Lepisosteus oculatus: one gene and its partner. The protein of the gene in region 2 purifies or fractionates together with the protein of the main gene of each other region. This does not show direct contact. Links are inferred from orthologs where the notes say so. Each region holds a gene or a part of one and is shown on either strand. Other genes may lie near its edges.

Region 1 (10,749 bases), on a different chromosome or scaffold from region 2:
TTCAACAGCTAGATATTCTTGTAAAAAATGCAAGTGTCAGTACTGTATTTATAGTTCTGTATTATTTGGCTTACAACACAGTGCACAGAAAGTTTATATACAGTACTGCGGTGCTTAATGATTTAGAATATTTCTGTAAATGGAACTAGTTGTAAAATACTGAGCAAAAGCTTAGAACTTTCCAGTCCTGCATGAAGGTCATTCAGGCTACTGGCATTCCTGATGTTGTTGATATTAAACAGGACGATTTTCTAACTGTTTCAACATTTTGTACGGAAAAAACTGTGAGCAATTTCAATTCATGTTTGGTATTTCCATGTTGGTGTCATAGTTAACCTGTCAAATGAGCAGCTATAGAATACGAAATCAGGAGAATATATTGGCAAAAACTTAAAAGGAACAACTGGTTTACAACAGTTCAGGAAGACAGCCAGCCCGTGCCTGGAATTACAAGGTGGAGATTATTTAGAAATTTGAAGAAATAATCATCAATAATTTAGAAGAAGCATATCTTGCCTAAATAAGCTATTTGATTTCTTCAACAAAACTAGCACAGTGAATATAACATCATAATGTTTACTTTCAAAAACCTTGCGATAAAGTACAATGTGAAATACCTATCTACCATAAGGCTGCAGGAATTGGGAATAATGATTACACATGGACATAAATAGTTAAGTTAAGAACTGAAAACAAAAAGTACTGTAAAGAGAAGGTACTGTACTTCTATCTGGAGTGAGGCAGCACAAGGATCAGTTCTTGGACAGATACTCCTCCTAATCTGTACCCATAATCTAGACTCTGGTACAGTGAGTAAATCTGCCCATTTCACAGATAATACAAAAACAGAACAACACGGAGCTTGATTAGATTGTAAATGGTTTAGATTTTAAATCAAGGGAAGTTGTATTAAAATTGTACAATGAATTGATTAGGCCTCAATTGGATAAGTGTGTCCAGTTTTGGTCATAACACTACAAGAAAGATATTGCTCTCTACAGAAACCAGTTTTTTTCCGGATCTGAAGGGAATTTCAGACAGAGAAAAAGGGATAGTCTTTTCACTCTAAAGCATAAGAAATTGCATGGGGACTTGATTCCAGTTTTCAAAATCCTGGAACACATAGACCAAGTCAACTCAGGGGACCCTGTTCAGATTAGCAGTAACACAAGCACCCAGGCAGACAAGTGAAAATTGAATTTAAGGAGATTTAAAACCAAAAACAGGAGATACTTCTTAATGCAGACAGCTGAGGGAGTCTGGAACTGACTTCCAGGATGTAGCTGAAACTAAGAGAAATCTCAGATCTTTAAGTTACTAGGAAGCAAACAAGCAAGGCAGGCAGAATGCCCCTACATCATCTGTAACCTTTCTTTGCTCTTTTGTTCATTGGTAATACTAAATTGAATGCAAATTATTTTATTTGTCATAGTATATTGTGATTTATTTCTAACTAATAAAAGGATACCCACTGTTATTTACATATGTATTTTCATGTTTTTTACGCTTCATTTAAAAAGAACTAATCAGTGTGCTTCAGAAACTTCTGAACTAAGCAGACTTCTCTATTCTCTACGTACACTTTATTTGACTTGGAAAAGATTAATGAACCAGAGCTTAACCAGCATGTTGATTTTGAACGGAACTACTTTTCTCTAGCTGATGATAATTATTTTACCTTGTAAAAAATCAGAAAACAGCTCATGTTCAAAGTTTTGTTACAATAATTTAAAAAGGGATTCAGCTGTAGGGATACCCTCTAATACCTCTGAAACTTTCTATCACTTAGAAAGTGCTAGAAACCCAAAATGCAGAGATAATATCTTATTAATGCATCTGAATAAGAAAAAACACATTGTGTGTCGCTTTAAAAATGTATTTTTCCTGCCTTTAATGGCAGAAAACATATAGAGGCATCAGATAGGAAGGCTTAATGAAGTTACAAACATTTAAGAAATATTTTCCACAAACAATAGAGTAACTCCATTTGAAAAGTTTACAGAAAACAAATAAGTTTCCTATGTTCCTCTACAGATCAGGCTGTTGTTCTCCCTGTTGCCAGGGGTAATGTAACTAACTACTCATGTGTCTCTCTGCGACAGACAGGAACAATCCTGGATGCGAAGACAAAAATATACTTCCAAAATGTATCTGGATAAAGAATGATATTTTCTTTTTCAGTTCCAGGACAGTAATATTGGTTTACTAGAATGCATTTGGCAGCAGAAACACATCTGGAACTGGAACTGCAAATGCAATGCACATTTGTATGTTTTTTGCATTGATAGCCTAGAATCATATCTACTGGTGTAAAACTGCAATAGTAATGGCTTCCAATTTAAATATTTACAAAAAACATGAACAGTGCTTTTGGCTATTACATGTTTGGCATAAAAGGTTTAATTATCCAGTGAAGAAAATCATGCTTTTTTTCTCATCTTTGTATCTTTTTCTCATCTAGTGAGAAAACCATGCAGTTCAGCCCCATGAAGTTGATCAATCCAGCCTGTTGTAGCTGTTAGAATCTGTTTACAGGGCAGTTTGCCTTGACAATATCAAATACTGTTTACCTCCCAGCTTCCATTTTACTAACATACTTCAAGACCTTTGTTTACGATATATAAAATAGTTCAAAATGTACTGCTTTGTAGCACAGGCATATCAATCAGCCTGAAAAACTGCAATATGTGCTGGTGTGTATATACATGTACAGGGTTGTGCAAAAAAACAACAAAAAACCCTTTTTGCCTTGATTCATTCTACCACAAAATTAATGTATTGATCGTGGAAGAAAATCAATGGGCTGCCCCCACACACTTCCCAAGCAATGAATTAGCAGTTCCATAGGAACTATAAACTTCAATCATGCGTCTTTATTTAAAGACATTTTAAAAGTAGTTAGAAAAGCAACCAGAAAACGACATAAACTCGATTGTGTCATTGCGGTGAGTATGCGAAATAGTGTGAAGAACAGGCACAATCTTTTCGCAATGATTCAAACAGAGTGTCGGCAGCTGTCACTGAGCTCCTCCACGCTAAGGGAACGGCGCCTAAGCCAGAGCACACTCCAGCAGCGCAACAGTTAATTTTCACACATGCAGGGGGGGAAAAAAAGAGAAAACAAAAGTTTAGGCACAAGTTTACTCCTCGGTGTGACAGTGTTTTTTTTTTTTTTCCCCCACTGCTCATCGAGTACCAAAACAAAACAGGCATTCAGTGAGGAAGAAGAGAAGGAACTCGACGTCTTGTTTTACCTTCTGGTCGACGATGGAGCATGCCATTTCCCTGACGTGCGACAGGGTGAAGTCGCCGGAGTCCAGCAGGACCGATTCGCGGCTCAGCCCGATCTGAATTTGGAAAGAGATGCCTGGCGACCCCGGGAGAGGGCTCGGCGGCCGAATCACCGGAGGCACACTCATGAGAATCAACCCGATGTCCGACAGGATAAAAACTAGAAACTGGGAAACTTAAAAAAAAAAAAATTAAATGTCAAAACTTTTCAAATGTTTGCTCGCCTTTTGTTTTGTTGTTGTTGTTGTTGTTGTTGTTGTTCTTGTTCTTGTTTTTTCCCCCCACACACCACACAGACACACAAAAAAATAGGGGTACTACAACAGTGATGATAAACTTTCAATCCTCTCCCTATCCGGGGAGGAAAATGGCGAGGAAAACGCGACAGAGGATGCAGTCGGGGAAGCGGTGAGAGGTACTGAAAAGCGGTCAGTTGTTTGAAGAGTGAAAGGCGAAGATGAAGCCGCTAGTCGGCAGATCTGTTGAAATGTTCAGATCTGATCAGAGCCCGCCTCCTCACTATTGCCCCGTGCTAATGAACCGTGGGTTATGTTTGTAGTCACTACAGCCACGAATATTCGGGTGGGTTTCAAGCGCCGCTTCTTCACACATCACTGCTGTCACTCCAGTTTCGGTCAGTGCGCGTTGTTTCACTCCCTGCGCTACAGGGATAATTACAAGTTTTATACTGTATATCCACCGGGGCACAACCTACTATACTGAAGGTGGGGGGAAAGAAAGTTCATCAGTGTTTAATTTTTTTTATGCCCGAGAAGACGGTTTTCCTGGGGAAATTAAGTCATAACGCTCCTTTTTTTTACGTTTAAATAGACGTATTTTTTATGTATTTGTTTGTTTTAAATAAACAATTTAAAAGTTTACAAATTAAACGTGTTCTCATGAAGGGATAGCTGCATTTAGGAGTATTTTTTGAGTCTGGAATACTCCTTAGAATGTACAAGATAGTGTAAAACAATAAGCTGAAAAGATGCCATTTAACCGTTAAGATTTGCACCATAGAGATTTCGTTGTTCAACAAGACAGAAAACAGTAGATACAGAACATTGCGTTGAAAGCATTAAGTGTGGATACAACTGATTAAACCTTATGTCTATCAGAGGAAATCGTTCTTTCTCACCTGTCGCAAATACTGTATAACAACCCGATATTTACTAAGCTAATGAAACGGGCTGTGTTCTTAGAAAATACGTCATTCAAGAGTCACGATTTTATTTCTGTATTGTATTTTCAGTGAAGGCGAAGAAAAATAACAATCCGATATTCCGCGTTAAAGCCAGTTTTGTATCAGATTGTAATCATTTCGACACAAAGTGAAAGTAAACAGTGTTGTTCCATAATACAGTGATAGATATGGGTCCTGGTAGTCCTGCGATTGACCTTAGGGAAACAATCATTAACATTTCCTTACTTTTATGATTAGATTATTTATATTAGCCAAAGTATCTCTTCCCATATTCCAGAAACATCAGCGTGTGACCCTATAATACTTCAAGATTGGTCTTAAAAGTCCCCCCCCAACCTCCTATAAATACGTTCAATATGCTGTAGGTGCTTTCTGTAGTGTTATTATTTAATTGGAGTCCACTTGTACATCTTTGTTGGAGGAACACGTCGAAATTTTTTTTTATGGGAAGTACTTATTTGCAAGAACCTGATTACCATTTTAAACGTTTCAATAAGAATTACAAAACCTTTTCTGAAGAAAATAAACAACAAAGAGAGTATTTGAATACGAAATTATTTGTTCTTGATTAGCTTAGCTTAATTTCGCACGTTTAAATGCTGCGGCTTCTCCATTATCTTTGTTATTAGTACAATTGCATAACCACTTTGATCGCGAGTTTTAATTGATGAACAGCTTTCATTTGATAAATTATTACCAAGGGAGTAAATCATTAAGCACAAGCAACACGTCGGTTTCATGTTTGTTTGCCTGTTTGTTTTTTGTTTGTTTGTTTGTTTGTTTCACCGTCTGAGCAGAAAAATAATCCCAGTAAAACTCGGAAAATTGCTAATAATTGGAGTAGCTTGCATCTCATGAGTATGCATGAGTACAATTGATCGTGTCTCCTAAATCTGAAATACTGAGTTTCAAAGTATCTCCTAACCGAAAAATATAAATATTATAGCGCGCTCTTTGCTGGTTCGTTTTCCTGAAAACACAAATTATGTTAGTTTTACTCGTGTTTACTCTGTATTTACAATATGTTTATACTGTTTGTTACAATGAATTATGTACTTTTACTCTTTAGTGTACACAATATATACTGTATATTAACGCACGTTTATAAAGAATCCTTTGTGTTGTCTAGGATAGTGTCAAAATTTAATTTGTGAAATAACACAACTGGGACCACAGTTCAGAAACCTTTGCTTCTTACTGTAGTAGATGAAGAATTGCAGCACTGATTGGAGTGGTGTGCTCTACTTCCATACCCCTGTCCTTACCCTGAGTTTGTCTCTGTGAAAAAACAACAGCAAGCCCATATCAGAAACAACATCTTCCCTGGTAATTTCAGATTCTTGATTTCAACTGTCATTCCCATCTCTTAAAGCTGTTATCGAAAGCGCTGTATGTTTGTAAAGAGTGGCAAGTGTCAGATGAACACCACCTTAATTATATTGCAACTCTCCAGTTTTCCCACTGGCCTTCAGGCACTTACAGGACAGTATGTCATGACTCTTTGTTTTAATGTGACATCCCACTGCCTTTACCCCTCTGGAGTTTTTAATATTCCATCACAATGATCTGAACTGAGATAAAAGGGCAGTTCAAGATCTGCAGGTCCATCATAACCCCACAGACAGTAACCATGTGGAGGATGTTGGGGTTGTCGGTGGCCTAACGTTTTAGATAGCCGGTTCACGGCTTTATGTGTATTCAGACACCCATGTCAGTGTGGCATAATTTCAAAACATTTTCTCGTATTGTTCGAAATGTAGGCCTGACCCATGTGCCAACTTTTTTTCTTCACTGTTAATAAGCCATTGTCGAAAGCTGTAGAGTGCTAAAGACCACATGTATAACACAGTTTATATTTTAAAGGGAATTCCCCCTTGATTTTTCTTTTGTGTGTGTGTGTTTTTGAAAGGTAGGCTTTGGGGTTGCTTCTGCGTGTGTTTTGCTTTCCCAAAATACATCTAGAAACACCGGTCCTAGTAAAGATACATGCTGCTTGTACTCCATGAACAGATGTAGTCATTAATAGTTTCACTCCCAGAAAATATCCTCGAAGTGCTGCCACAGGGAAAATCTGACAAGCCAGTTCATTCTGTTCTTGTTAGCGCTTTCTCACAGAAAAGCTCCTGAAAGGCAGGATGAATGGTGCACGCATCTTTTCACTCTGACGAGATTGAAATGGGGGGCTTGGTGAAATGTCTAAAAAGAAAATGCTGTTTAATTGCTAGGATACCATTCTGCCATCCTTAAGTAGGCCAAAGACATGGATAGCAAATTACTTGGGTTATTGTGTGCAGGGCCCCTACAATAGCAGGAGAGAGTGTACTATTACAAATCTTTTCAATTCGTTTAGCAGCTTTTATTTGGTGTGTGCGTGTGTGTGTGTGTGCGCGCGCGCACAGGCGGCGTTTCCTGCCTCCTATGCTTCCAGATGAACTGCTCAATAAATGCAGACATATCACCCAGCCAAAAGGAAATGAAGCAGAAAAACAGCATTACAGAGCTGCAGGGCAACTCTTACAAATAACAATCCTTGGATGTAACCATAAGCGATGGTCTCTTATTCAAACTCCTTAGCCATTCAGGTCCCTGTCCGCCTACACACTCTCTGTATGACCTTGTCAGACACAAACCTCGGCAGCACAGTACTACTGTGACCGAGTCATTTAACTTATGCTAATTGTATGAGCTGGCAAAATAAACTAACTTAAGTTTTTCAGTTGTTTTTTTTTTTAATAGACCTGAGAATCTATTCAATAAATTCATAGAGGAACACCACAAGATTCCCAGTTTCATCAAAAAATTCCCCTGCGGTGATTAAGACAAATACTGTTTATCCCTAGGAATTACACTTCGGCACTGAAAACCTTCTGATTAAATAATGAATTACTGTGCTAGGCCCAGTTAAATTTCCACTAGGAGAGCCTCCTGAGATGAGCTATTCTGTAACAGCAATGCAAGTATAGCTTTTTCTCTTGATTACAGTCATCATCTGAAGGACAACCCCTGAGACCCATTATATTTGAATTTCTGTATATACAGTGTACATACAAACTCACACCATTGAAGAGAAGGATTTTTGACGTATATAATTAAAAGGTTTAGAAAATACAACCAACCAGGTTCATTACTTCATGGTCATGAGATTTATATTTTTTGTTATTTATTTAGCATTTTATTTCATCCTTATACTTTGTTAATATCCACCATTCTAGAGAAGCACTTTCTTTAGCCCCACCTCTCCCAGGGTAAAGCACAAGACAGGGGGTCCATCAAGACAGGCTGAGCTCTGTGATCCAGGTGAGAGAGAGCCTGGTGACATCACCAGGTGGCTGTAATGCCAGCCTCATTGGGACTCCTCAAACAGCGGCAACCATCTTCTGAGGGCTGCCGAGAACCAGCTGGTACTTCTCGACCAGTGTCACAGCAACCCTCGTGGCTTGCAGGCTGGCAGTGCCTTGGGCGTGGGATGTGCCTTTCCAATCAGTTCTCAGCCTGCTGTGCTCCCTGTGATGTGGTTCTCAATGAGCGGCTCGAAGGTGGGCAGGATGGAGGAGTCTGTCCACTACAGCACCTCCTCAGTCTTTCCCGTGTGCGGTGGCAGCGTTCGTAGCTGTAAAAAAACCCACATTCTTTATTATCGATTGTCTAGAGGTTGTGTGTGTCTTGATTAGAAATAAATCTCTGATGTGCATGGCTTCTGGTGGACCAGCCTACCATCCAAGCCAGTAGTACTGTAGCAGGCCTGCCAGTACATTCAGTACCGGCCAGGGGCGTACCTGTATTCAATGGTGGATGAAGTGAGGCCACACCTCTATATAAAGCAATTTTGGGATCAAGGGGATGAAAACCCGTTTAGAAATACAATTAATTATTTAATCAATTGGATAATGTTTTTGTATAATAATAATTACCTTCCTGACCACTTGACCCATTTTGCAGAGGGAGCTGTAACTGGTTTCCTCATTAGACATGCTTATGAGTCTGGTGATCGGATTCAAGTTTCGAGGGCAGAGGAGTGTTAAAAACAGTTTGAAACATCACCAGAAAAACTAAAAGAGTATAAAACCTAAAAGTAAAAATATCTATAATGGAAGCAGATATTCAGTCAAATGTGGTACTATACTGTATGTTTGTACTGTATATGATCCAAAGCATTGACACTTTTAAAGTGGTGTAATACAGAATAATATGTCTTGCAGTTTATTTATGTGATGCCTTAAATGATCAATTGGTGCAATAGTGTAATATATATATATATTTTAAAATACAAAACCCCTGAAATCAGATGGAAATGGGGAATTGTTGAAAAACATATCCATCGTCTCTTTTCATTTCCAATTCCAGCTCAGCATTTTCACAGTTCAAATGTCAAGTCAAAATGTGAAAATTATTCACCTCTGCCATGTGCCTACGTGACACTTTGCATGCAGCTTACACTTTACAGAGTAAATATTCGGTGTTTGTGTGTTTGTTTAATAGTAACTTTAGCATGTGTCAGTTATTGTCACAAACTGACTGTTTCTGTATGTTTTATTTAATTAAGAATAGCAAGTGATTTTGTTTCTCAACAGAGGTGTTATTAGTATTAGATATTAAAGGGTTAAAAGCATAGAGTTAATAAAAGTTAGCATTTTTGGTGTTGTTTCTTGTTAAACGTGAAGAAACATCATAATTCCAAATTAAAAGCTAGATCCTGGCTCTTCCATTTACCTTTGCAAGTAAAATATGCATTTAAATGCAAGGAGACTCTCAGCATGATACCATGTGTATTGCAGGAACTTCTGTACAGCAGATTGTTCATGAAACATAATTTGATAAATACCATAACCATTAGAAAAGAGCTGTCCATAAAGTCGTTCCTGTATGTAAATATACAGGGTCATTGTCACGTTATCTATGGGAGATGTTCAAATGTTGTGTTTGAATTGTCTCCTTCCGTGTGCATTGTAATATTGTTGGGGGGTCAGATCCTTTTTAGAGATAGTTCACCAAATATGAAAATATACTGGAGGAAGTTTTAGAGGTAACAGAGCAGCTTTGTCTGAAGGTTTGTGGTTTATTCAGTTCAATTGAGCAACGTGTTAATCCATGGTCTTTTTTTGTCTGGAAGACTCCTAGGATCTAATTTGGTTCCGTAATGGCATAGCTCTGATGTGAGCGTGGTGGTAGGAACTAAGCGTTCAGAAGGCTGACATTAAAGGGCAGTTCTGGCAAACTCATCTAATATAGCCAATATAGCACTATGCTGTACTAAGGTGAGTACAGCACTGGACCCCCTGCCTACAGGTCACACTTGGGAGTGGAGGATGCAGTCATCTATCTGCTACATAGAGCTAACTCTCACCTGGAGAAGACAGGGAGCACTGTGAGAGTTATGTTCTTTGACTTCTCCAGTGCCTTTAACACCATCCATCCCCCATTGCTGAGAGATAAGCAAATGCCGGCACAGGTGGACACTCCCCTGGTGTCCTGGATTATAGACTATCTCACCTGCAGGACACAGTATGTACGACTAAAAAGCTGTGTGTCCAAACAGGTTGTTAGCAGTACTGGGGCTCCACAGGGGACTGTCCTTGTTCCATTCCTGTTCACCTTTTACACCTCTGACTTCAAGTACAATTCTGAGGCATGTCGTCTACAGAAGTTTTCGGATGACTCTGCAATTGTGGGGTGTATTAGGGAATGGAGGGAGGAGGAATATAGGAGCTTGATTACCAGCTTTGTGGAGTGGTGTCATCTTAACCATCTCCAGCTCAACACCATCAAGACTAAAGAAATAGTCATGGACTTTTGGAGGAATAAGTCTCCGCTGACCCCTGTTTCCATCCAGGGTGAGGACATAGAGGTGGTGCAGTCCTACTAGTACTTAAGGGTACACCTGGATGATAAGCTGGAGTGGACTGTTAATACTGACGCCCTGTACAAGAAAGGTCAGAGCCGACTCTATTTTCTTAGGAGGCTCAGGTCCTTTGGTGTGTGTGGAACACTGCTACACATTTTTTATTAATCAGTGGTGGCAGCGGCCATCTTCTACGCTGTTGTGTGCTGGGGCAGCAGCATCATGGCAAGAGATGTAAATAGGGTCAATAAACTCATCAAGAAGGCTGGCACTGTGTTGGGACTGAGCCTTGACCCCCTGGAGGTGGTGGCTGAGAGGAGAATGCTGACCAAGCTCACAGCCATCATAAACAACGCCTCTCATCTGCTACATGGCACTGTTATTGGGCAGCAGAGCACTTTTAGACACAGAGTGC
Region 2 (10,866 bases):
CCAGCAGCAACCATAGCTTCCCAGGAGCCTCCCATCCAGGTACTGAGCTTCAGCGGGGCTGCATGCTGTGAGCTGCAGGGCGATGTGGCTGCTGGCCAGTTGACGCTACTTATTAGGCCCAAAATAAATCCAGTCATTGACTCCTCACTCCAGCCACGAAGCCCAGGCATGTCCCTTGCTGCAGGTGACTGTCCTGGCCTCATGGAGAGCTGCCACCAGCTGCGCTCTCTCTCAGTAAGGAACGCCTCGACGGGCTGACATTATCCTGGCCTTGGCGGACAGGAACAGGGCAAGACTGCTGCTGGGGCTTGTTGGGGTTTTTTTCGCCCAGAGTTTCTGTTGACTTGATTCCCCTGCAATCGGAAGAACAGTGCCTGCCTTTCCGCTGCCCTGAAGATTTTACTCCTTTCCCGGCCGAACTCCAAATCTGGGAGACTGGCGCGGCCAGGCCGCCAAATGGCAGCACCGTGCCGCCCCACTGCCCGGGCCTCTGCAGACAGACAACTCGCTGCACGCTGCTTTCTAGCTGGGCAGGACGCAAGCACCCTGCAAGCCACTAGCCCCCCAGAGGCTTTCCCTTCAACCTCGCCGCGGGGCTTCACACCAGCTGGGAGAGAAAGATGTCTGAGCTCCCTTCGCATTTCTTCTAAAGAACAACAGGCATGCAAGCACACACACAGCCTGCTGTGTTCTGCGTGCTGCTCCAGACAGGCTGTCCCAAGATGGTTGAAGGTTCTGCACTCATCACTTGGTCCGTTCTTCCCAGCCACCCCACTGGGCCTCATCGAGAGAGTTTCCCCTCGCAAAGCCTCCAAACATGACTGGGAGCCACAGCGGGCTGTGCTGCGTCTCTGCCAAAATGAAATCAAGTGAGATGGCTGGGAGTCTGCGCTGTTTAGCTACTCCTTAATCTGCGGGGCATCGAACAGCTCGAAACAGCAGCCTTGCTTCCAAAACAAAAAAAAAAGACACCATTCTACTCCGACCACAATGTTAGACTGCCAGCCATGCTTTAAAAACGAAGTGAATTGATTCTAATTACTAAATAAAAACAACAGGTCCTGATATGCGATCATGCCCCTCCGTTTAAAGGGATGGGTCTGTATTAGTAGATATTCCTTTCTAACTTAAAATACAATTGGCCTTTTGCAATAAGCAGTGCTTCACAAAAATATACAGAAAGACATCACCACCAACAGCCAAAAGACATTTACACTGTGAATCCGATCATCCAGGCAAGCAACGTGCACAAGGCAGGGTACACCCTAGACTGGATGGCAGTCCATCACAGGGCACACAGACACACACACACTCACATCAGGGTCGATTTTCCCAGAAGTCAGTTAACCTACCCGCATGTCTTTGGACTGTGGGAGGAAACCCACACAAACATGGGGAAAACATACAAACTCCACACGGATAGCACCCCAGGTCTGGAACTGAACACTGTACCACTGTGCCTTCCCATTGAGAATCCACACACAAATATATCAATGGATTTGACATGCCTGTGCTATCTTAGAACTACAAGGCCATCCTGCCATTTACAAAGAAAATGGCTAATTTCATTATTCAGTTTAAACATTTTCAGATGCCTTTGCAAATGCAAGCCACTGAATCAACTGCTGTTTCACCCTGAGATGTTCCAGCAGCTGTCTTCTCCAGCGATAGTGTGGTTACTAGACAACTGCCCAATTTGTTTTCTAAGCAGGAGAAAACATAAATGCGTGATCTCAAGGCCGATCAGCATATTAACTTCTGCAGCCTTTGACTTTTAAGTCACACATATACAGACGTCAGAGCATCTGATCAGTGCATCTGTCTGCGGTGTATTCTGTACCGTGGAGCAGAGAGATCTGATTGCAGAGTGGACATAAACACTGACAAGAATACAACATTTTTATTGCTCTCTTGTGTACACAAAAACCCGAGATAGAGCCTACAGTACCTGCAGAGATGAAATTAAGGCTCCCACTGCATAGCACCGTGATCCACATACACAGAAATTTCAGGTTTCTAGAAGTGGCTGGCTTGTGCACAAGTGCATTGACAATGTAGATAAACAATGTGAAATCCATTTCTACCTAGAATAATATGCTCAAAATATGATCATCATGAAACACGAACAGTTACAGGGTTATATACAAGAGCGTGCAACTTGTTAAACCAGGAACGTCTCTCCCCAGCTATGCGAGTGTTTTTTCATCTCTGTACGCACCAGTCTCACACCAGCGCCAGTGAGAGAGACCTGTGCTGATCTATGTTTTGAACTAGGAAGGTTAACCCACTGAGACGCAGGTCCTGTTTACAGAGGGATCCTGGGAGATTATACTGCTGAAAAATATCAGTACAATAGCAGTCAACACAACACAGGACACGTGCTTAAAATCAAGTTACCAAGTAATCGCAGGAGAGGCAGAATAAAAAGATCTATGCAGACAAATAATCACGTAGCACAGTGTGTTTCGCTCCCTGCAGATGACGGGCATCCGAAAAAAATAATCAAAAACATGCTATAAAGTAATTTAACCTCTGCCTTGCGAATGCCTGACTTCTTTCCATCTGTAGTGTAACACAACTGCAAATCCAATAAAACACCAATTGGATTACCAGGATTTGAAATCTCTTTTCTTTATTTTCTGAATAAAGCAGGAAGAGGCACAGCAGCTTCCAAAGGACAGGAGGCAAAAAAACTGATCTCAGAGCAGAATCCTAGACTGACCTCTTACAGAGTCCTTTGCGCTCAAATAGAAATTCTTCTTCCTTTTTTTGAGCAGCATCTTTTGAGCAGAATGAAATGTTACTATGAAACTAACAGAACCATCCTGTGTCAACATGGACATGGAAAGCAGGAACACAGACACAACTAGGCTCATTCTGTACAGAGGTATAATATTATTTAAGGTCATAGCTAACACTACAGCAGGTACACTTCTCAATTCCAAACACACAGCATGTCAGTTTTAAAAATTCTGGAGGTCAATAAAAGGCATTTTCAGTGGAGATGACAATTTATTGTTCTGTCGGAAGCAGAATATACAGTAAGAGATTGTTCTAGGTGCTCCTAAGCAAATCTGCACTCTCCCACAAATCTCAAGGGCTATTTTAAACACTGGATGTAGCTGATCGTCTGTTTCATTTAGGACTCCTTCATTTTGAATCAGTGACTGAGTTAATATGTGAATAAATACAAAAATACACGGCTGTAAATACACAAGTGGCTATTTTTTTGGTGCCTCTGAAATTCACAGTTACAATGATACCGAGCTTGCCTGAGACCTGTGTTTATGCAGGATTTGCTGAGTGTCCAGAAAACACAAACCAGGCACACTAGAGGTAACGAACTTCTGCGACGCCATATCTTCCAAAATATTCCCCTGTCAGTTTAAAGAAAACAGCAGCACAGCGTGTCCACCACCATCCTGCTTTCATACTGCCCAGAACAGATTCTTCTAAATGACACTGGCTTTGTACTCCCCTCGTTCTCAAGTGCAGAAGTCTTTGTGAGACCTTGGTCAGAAAATCGGTGCTTAAAAAAAAACCTCGGAGATTCAAATTTCAAAAGAGATAGATACATTTCCTTGAAGCGGATTTGTTTCAGTGACCTCTACATAAACATATATTTTGCTGTGTTTTTGCATACAGGAGTGTCGTAAATGATTTTAATAGATGATGCTTAAAAACTGCCGGGAGTGGGCATCTTGCAGGTGTAGGTGGTCTTTAGATCTTGGGTTTGAGTCTGGACTTCGGATCCTTGCGTGTGGAGTTTACATGTTCTGTTTTCCCAGAATGGATGAATATGGCTAACCCCCTCAATTCATCTTCTGCGAGCTGGCTCTGAGCTCCTAACGCATGCACGACCCCCCCGGTCACGTCTGGCAATCCAGAGATCTAAAAATTACCGCAACAACTGAGACAAACAGATACTGACACTTGAAAATAAAAAAAAATCCACATATCATGCGGATAACATGCTCGTTCTGCAGGAACGAGACAAGGAAGGCAGAAATATTATTTGCATCCACCGGTTTCTGGTCGTTTCTCTAACACCCAGCAACTGGAAAAAGTGTTAACACTTCGATGAAGACACTGCACAGAGAACTCGGATTTATGTACCCATGACAAACATCATCTCAACATCTTTAACCACAGCCCGGTCTCACAGCAACTTGCTCACTTATCTGGTGGACTTATTTGGTCCACCTTTCTCACTAGTTCTTAAAAAAAAAACATATTTACAGTCAATTCATTTCCTTGCTTAGACTTTCGAGGGTCTCGGTCGAATATTTCTTCAACTTTTTGCCATCGCCGCCGATACAAATACGAGTCACTCGGCATTCGAAGAAATGACCACCGCACTGCCCACCGCGTCGTATTTAGCGCACTACCACAATTCTTTTAAAAAATTGCACTAATTCTGGAGAAGGAAATGACCGCTGTTTTTGTAACAAATCGTTATCTTTATCCGTGTATATCGCTGTCGGCAGCACCTGGGAAAACGCGTCCCCCCCCCCCCCGAATGCTTGTTAATACTCACAAACCGTGGTCTCGCTGCGGCCGTGAAAGCTTAAATGATACATTTCTTGAATAAATGCATTTTTTTGTAGCACCGACCCGCTTAGTTACGAGTACTCGCAATTGAAAAGAACGGTCCGAAAAAAATGAGTGTCAGTAAACAAACTATCTTTACCTGATGATCAAGGAGATATCCCGTTTGCCTTTCTGTAGGAGATGTCCGGATCTTCGACGGCGGATGCGCTAGCTGGTGTGTATTTTTTGGGGGGGTAAAAAAAAAAAGAAATGTATGTGTATTTTTTTTCCCGTCACAGCTCTCTTTCCTCCATATTGGCAGCTCCTCCACCAACAACAACATTCGTGACGTCACTCCCCCGTCACGTGACCCCCCCCCCCCCCGGCCGCGTGCTAAAAATAGACTCTGCAACCACTGAATAACCTACAGTGGGAAGATAACCCACACCTGAGTATGGTGGCAGACCTCGCGTCGACTGGCGCTCCTGACGTGTGGTCTGTCTCCCCAGTCAACGTCTGACACAGCGAAATGTTGCGCTGTTGACACGGCGTTTCGGCACAGGCGCGGATGCAGACCTCTGCGGCTTTTGAAGTTCGGAGAGAACGTTACCACCGATTCATGCTCGTCTAGTAAAATATATATTTCCACGATTGTAGCGCTGCATTGAAGGCAGTTGTCTGTCGTTTACCAGATGCACGTTCTCTTTTTTTTGTGGAAATGGAAATGGGTTTTGGGTGGAAATGAGTGAGCATATTTTATGCGTCACAAGGCGCGCTAAATATATGTTCTCGCAGTGTTTCTGATTTACAACGGGCACGATCCACTATCTCTTTTTCAGCGTTTCCCGCTGACATTAGCCTCATCCGCACTTGTTAGAACAGTAGAAACATGATGAGCCCGGTTGCAGTAGTTTGAGTTTTTTTCCGAGCTTTAGACCTTGTGCTTAGAAGTTGTGCGAGTTCACGCCAGTACCCGAGGATCTGTGTGGGGATATGCTGTGATTCGAGGTCAGGGATGGACTACTTTCAGAGTCATGCAATTAAATCTACTCCAATGCTCCCGGCCACGAGTCACAGGCCGGTCCAGGTCAAAGGGTTCCCACCTTGCTAAACTTTGGAGCGTTTCTGTCGGCTGCATGGTTGGACATAAGCCCACGACAGCATTTGTTAGTCATGTCAATCGGAGCGAAGTGGCTGAGATGCTCGCCTGTAGTTATAAAGTCTGCCGAGCTCCTGTCCGTGCAGACGGTCCCCCCGTTGTGTCTCACGTCTCACTGAGAGTCTCGAGCCGCGGCCCGGAGACCCCTCGAGACACGGAGCTCTCTTATTATGAAAAGTACCGAGGAGCGGGCGACGAATCCCGAGCCGGAAAACGACGCGCCGCCGACACAAGTTTGGGGGGGGAGAGGGAAAGGAGGGAGTTGTGAACATAAGTTCGGGAATGGAGACATAATGATAAAGGACAGAGGCCGAGAGAAAGCATTGGTGCCATCACTATGCGTTCTCCAGCTTGATGCTTGTTGCCATGGTTACCCGGGGCCGGGAGCATGACTGGCATTCTAAGTACCGTTGTGCAACACCGCGAGCCCTTGCCTGCGCGGACAGAGACACGCAACACGTGTTCCCATCATGCGGCTGTTAAAAGGGCCTTGACAAGCTCTCCATCAGCTTCCTCATTCAACACAGCTCAATACTCCTGCGGGGATGCGGTGACGTCATCCCTGCTCTTCAAAAGAATGAGTCACGGCAGCTTTGTGACGTCAAAGCCTCCTTTTAGGAGAAAATCGAAAAGAACATTAAGGTAGATACATAACTGAAAAAAAAGACAATTACATGAATATTTTTTTTCCTCTGGCAGTATCAAAGGACGTGGATATGGGATACGAATTATGTGCTAAGACAAATCAAATTATTAATCTTTCTAAAACCGTTTATTTAAATAATAAGTCTGATCACCGGAGTAGATTCAGTCTTCTTACACAATTCTGCAACCCAAAGTTTCGCGGTGAAAACTATCTCAAAAGCGCCTTCACGCTGATCACTTCAACATCTTCCGTGAGCGTAGCTACAATTCAACCCTCTAACTCGATATAGTGGCAGAAAACAGGGCGTTAGGTCAGTGCGGGGGGAAAGTTTTTCCATTATTAAAATGCATTTCACCCTGTTGTGCACGCAAAAGCGTCTCGACACTCTCTGCTCCATTCGACGAAAAAGCGTCCTGCACGATGCCCGTAAATTGTTTCTCTCGCACATACTAATGGTTTTCACCCATTAGCGTGGTTTTCCTATGCCAGTCTCTGTGGCAGGCTGGCCGAGATGAATGACCCCGCCTCAGTCCCCTCACCCACAGCGCTCCCGGACAGCAGCCGGCGAGTCAGGGATGAGGACCCGTCTCCATGGCGATGCGGCGCTTTTCATGCCGGCGGTAGCGCTCTCGTGCTTTGGAAGCAGATGAAGATATCTGTCGTTCCTTCGACTCGTTGCGGACGTCTGCTCTATGTATTGAAACAAAGAAGAGTAGCAGCCCAAGACGATAAATGACCTAGACTTCTGCAAGTGTTGCCGTCTTAATTATGTCCAAAGAGAGATGGAAAATGAACTATATATTTTGCTAATAAACTCTTTTGTTTTTGTTGATCTTAATCCTATAACTTAATTGTGTCTGGTGTGAACTCAGCCTGTGCTCCACTTTAACAAAAATCACGAAGTTATTAACCCCGAGTGTCCTTGAGAGTAGTCAAATCACCAAACCCACTTTACAGCGTTAGGAACGGTCTGAAACCAGAGGAGCCCATTCATAAATCTAACACGTCTGGTAGTTCGTAGCTCATCGATCCTCTAACCTCGGTAAAAGGACGAGAAGCTTTTTTCAGTTTCCCACATCTTGAGAACACTGTAAAATAGCTCTCTCTTTTGTAACTTAGTGACAATTTTAGCAATGATATCTCTTAATTTTAATTTAACATATATAATGAGATTCTCCTTGATTTGTATTGCTTTCCAACTTTGTCTGGAAGATGAAAATGGCGTGTCAACATTTACACATTCCTTTTTTTCCACAAAGCAGCTTTTTCAAACTTAATGTCCCTACTTGGTACAGTATTTAATGTTTTTTTGCTGCCTGTTCGTAATACTCTGCACCTTGTCTAACTTAGCCCCCCCAAAATGTTTTTGTTTGATCGATTTTAGAAGTAAAGGATTATCAGAAAGCAATGATATGAAAATGTTATATGTCAAAAATGAAAATGGTATATTTCATGATTATCTAATGTCTGGCTTTGGCACGAAGCCTACTGCTCGGGGTCGAGGCTAAATTGTCTGCATCGGCGGACACTTCCGACTCAAACAGAGGGAGGAGGCGCTATATTCGTAAGTGAGGGATGACTCACATACAAGTGAGTCAGATTTCTACAGCCAAATCTAAATGTCAACCCCCCATCTCCCCCCTTCGCAGCATTTAATGAGAAAAAATAGATCCCACACAAAGAAGAAAAAGTCACAACTACTTATATGACAGGAAATTGTCTTTGGAATCGAAGAGCTTTCTTTTCCATTTTGTATCAGATCCACGACGCCTCCCGGTGTATCTTTGAAAACAAAGAGTGTGGTTTGCGTTACACGGAGATGCTGGTGCCTGGATATCACACAAAAAAAGTCCGCCACCCCTCTGTACAACAATAATGTTTATAAAATGTTAATGGTACAAGACAAGGAGAAAAACACAAGAGCAAACATTTCTTTATCATTAGCGATCTCCTGAAATTGCTGTTTAAAATGTAGAGTTTTTTTTTCTTTTAAAAAGCTTTAACTGATCAGATAGGACGCAGTGATATGTATATAAAACTGTTTTGTGTGGTATTTATATGTTAGTGCTTTTTGTTCGTTATACACCGTGCATGTGAGACGGAAAACATGCAGATGTAAAACATCAGTGAGATTTCCTGAGAATTGCTGGGTTTTATAAAGCTTTGTCTCCCTCGTACGGTGGGACTCTGCAAATTCCGCGTGTGGACTTCTTGTTCCTCCGGAACTAAAAGTTCCTATCTTTGTTGCCATACCGGGGCGAAATGATGGGAGGGATGAGGCAGGGGAGAGTGCGTGGAAGGGAGGGAGATTTAATTTAATCCTTATTTAGTTAAGAGATTAAGCGTATTTCTGTTATATTTTGCTTTTGATCGAGATGGAGTTAGATACAGATATCCAGCCTGTTCCGAAAGGAGGGTTCCATTGCAACTTGTGTGATGTCAGTGTACCAAACAGTAAGTTTTGTCAAGTTTGCGCAGCACCATTACTTACAGAGCAGTTTACAGCAGTGGCATGATTGTTTGAGAAACAGAGTTTATTTCATTTTTGTTAAGGCGAATAGATTCAAAAAATGTTTTATGGCTGCGAAGGAATCTCACAGCCCGTGTATGATAAAAGTAAGCGGCTGTATTGGTCCTGCGTTTTCAGTAACACTGGGCAGTACGTGCTTTCCTCTTTCTTTAGCCTTTTTAATGCACGTCCGTGTGTTTGAAATGCATGCCCGTGTTTGTTTCGGCGCAAGGCTCCTGTTTCGTTTGTATCTGCACACGTTTCTGCTTATCTAGAGTGTAACGTGTGTGGTTATGCAGGGACAAGCCTTCAGGACCACCTGAAGGGCCGTAAACATCGGAACCTGTGCGCCGTCCGGGACACTCGCCGGACCCAGGTGGAGAACAGCGTGTTCGTCAGCGGGTTCCAAAAGGGGACGTCGCAGCAGCAGATCATGGAATATCTCCAACGCTTCGGACCCGTGTCCGAAGTCATCATGGATAAGGACAAGGTGCGTTTTTGTAAATATAATATCCTGACTCTCTGCGGTCATGACAAAATCCCAGGGTGTTTCTGGAAAAGAGTAGGGGTGTTACCCTGGCATCCTAGCCAGTCAAGGCCTCCTAATAATCCCCATCTCTGAACTGGCCTCATCGCTCTGTTCTCCTCCCCACTGAGGGCTGTACTGGGGAGTGTACTGGTGCTCTATGGCTGCCGTCACATCATCCAGGTGGGGGCTGCACATTGGTGGTGGTGGAGGGGAGTGCTTTGAGTGGGGTGTCCAAAAAAAGCGCTATAAAAGTGTGAGGAATTATTATTAACTAACTAGTCATCACTTAACATGTCAGTTTAAATAGAAGTTATTACAATGATGTCATGCAGGCAAAAGAAATATCCTTTACAGGTATCTGCTGAAAGCAGGAGTATCATCTGAACAAAACAAGAGATGTGCAAAAAGCATAAGTCTAGTAACGGGTTAGTTCATGTCCAAGCAAAGGGCATGGAATGCAAGGCCGAGGGAAGAATCTGTTTCTAGGACAACCGAGAGTCGAGTGTGGGACTGACCAGGTATGGACGTGGGTTGTTGTTTCTCTCCAACTGTGTCTCCCAGGGTGTCTATGCCATCGTGGAGTTCAGCGACAAGCAGGGCCAGCAGGCAGCCCTGTCTCAGCCCCAGCACAGCATGGAGGGCCAGAGGCTGCGCATCAAGCAAAGGGAGAGCAAGGAGTTCAAGTTTGTCCCCAAACGGAAGCAGGACGTCACCAAGAGCCCCTCGATGAACCCCGAACTTCTGTCCCATGCCCTCTGTCAGGCCAATTCTGTGAGTCTCTCTCTCTCTCTCCTTGCATACCAGCCGGGTTCCAGTCCTGCTGGAGCTTTTGTTTATTCGCACTGTCTGAGCTCTTCATGTCTCAGCTGGATTCTGCATCAGGCCACCTTAACATGATTGATCTAAAAGGATCTACAGTATAGTGCTATCTATAGGTACCAGTGTCTGAAACAAGTCTTTTTTGCTGCTCAATTATATGTTGGGTTACACATGTTTGGTGTTCTTTTTTTATCACATGATGTACCTTTTACCAATGCAGTTTTCTGGTTGGAAAAAAATGCTAAACCTCTTGCATTTAGATTAACTGTTTTTTTGCGTTGGATTTCACCAGGCACTTTCTCTTCAATTTCACAAGTGATGCTGATAGACTGTTATTCCAAAGCTTGTTTAACTCAATTATTAGTGCTTCAGTTTTCCAATTTAGGTTTGACTATGTTCTGTATATATTCCAGATATTCTACTCACTGGCTTTTGACCAAGTGACTGTTCTTTTCCACAGAAGGGATATGTCTTTAATGAATAATAACCACAAGTACACAAGTGTTTAAATAATTACAGGCAGTCATAATAAGCACCATAAACTCAGAGGAATTTCTCAAATTAGGGTCTAGTGTAGACTTAGTGAGAACTGATTATCTGTTCAACTGTATTAAACTGTATCAATACAAGAGGTATGTTGTTGGACTCTTAACTTGGGAAATTCAGAATCCTAA

The links.
Region 1: the proteins of hdac5 (region 2) and prkd1 purify together in Homo sapiens (affinity purification with western blotting; 4 studies listed by BioGRID, with this or other methods). This does not show direct contact. The link is inferred for Lepisosteus oculatus from reciprocal best matches to the Homo sapiens genes HDAC5 and PRKD1.

What each region holds. Positions count from the first base shown.
Region 1 is NC_090703.1:5,746,364-5,757,112, reverse strand, and holds the start of prkd1 (serine/threonine-protein kinase D1), read right to left. Parts: upstream 3,927-10,749; 5' UTR 3,420-3,926; coding exon 3,255-3,419; intron 1-3,254.
Region 2 is NC_090723.1:7,409,061-7,419,926, forward strand, and holds the start of hdac5 (histone deacetylase 5), read right to left. Parts: upstream 4,890-10,866; 5' UTR 4,874-4,889; coding exon 4,691-4,873; intron 1-4,690. Other genes in the region: tut1 (speckle targeted PIP5K1A-regulated poly(A) polymerase), read left to right, coding at 8,711-8,789, 9,144-9,334, 9,935-10,144. UniProt on the Homo sapiens protein: Responsible for the deacetylation of lysine residues on the N-terminal part of the core histones (H2A, H2B, H3 and H4).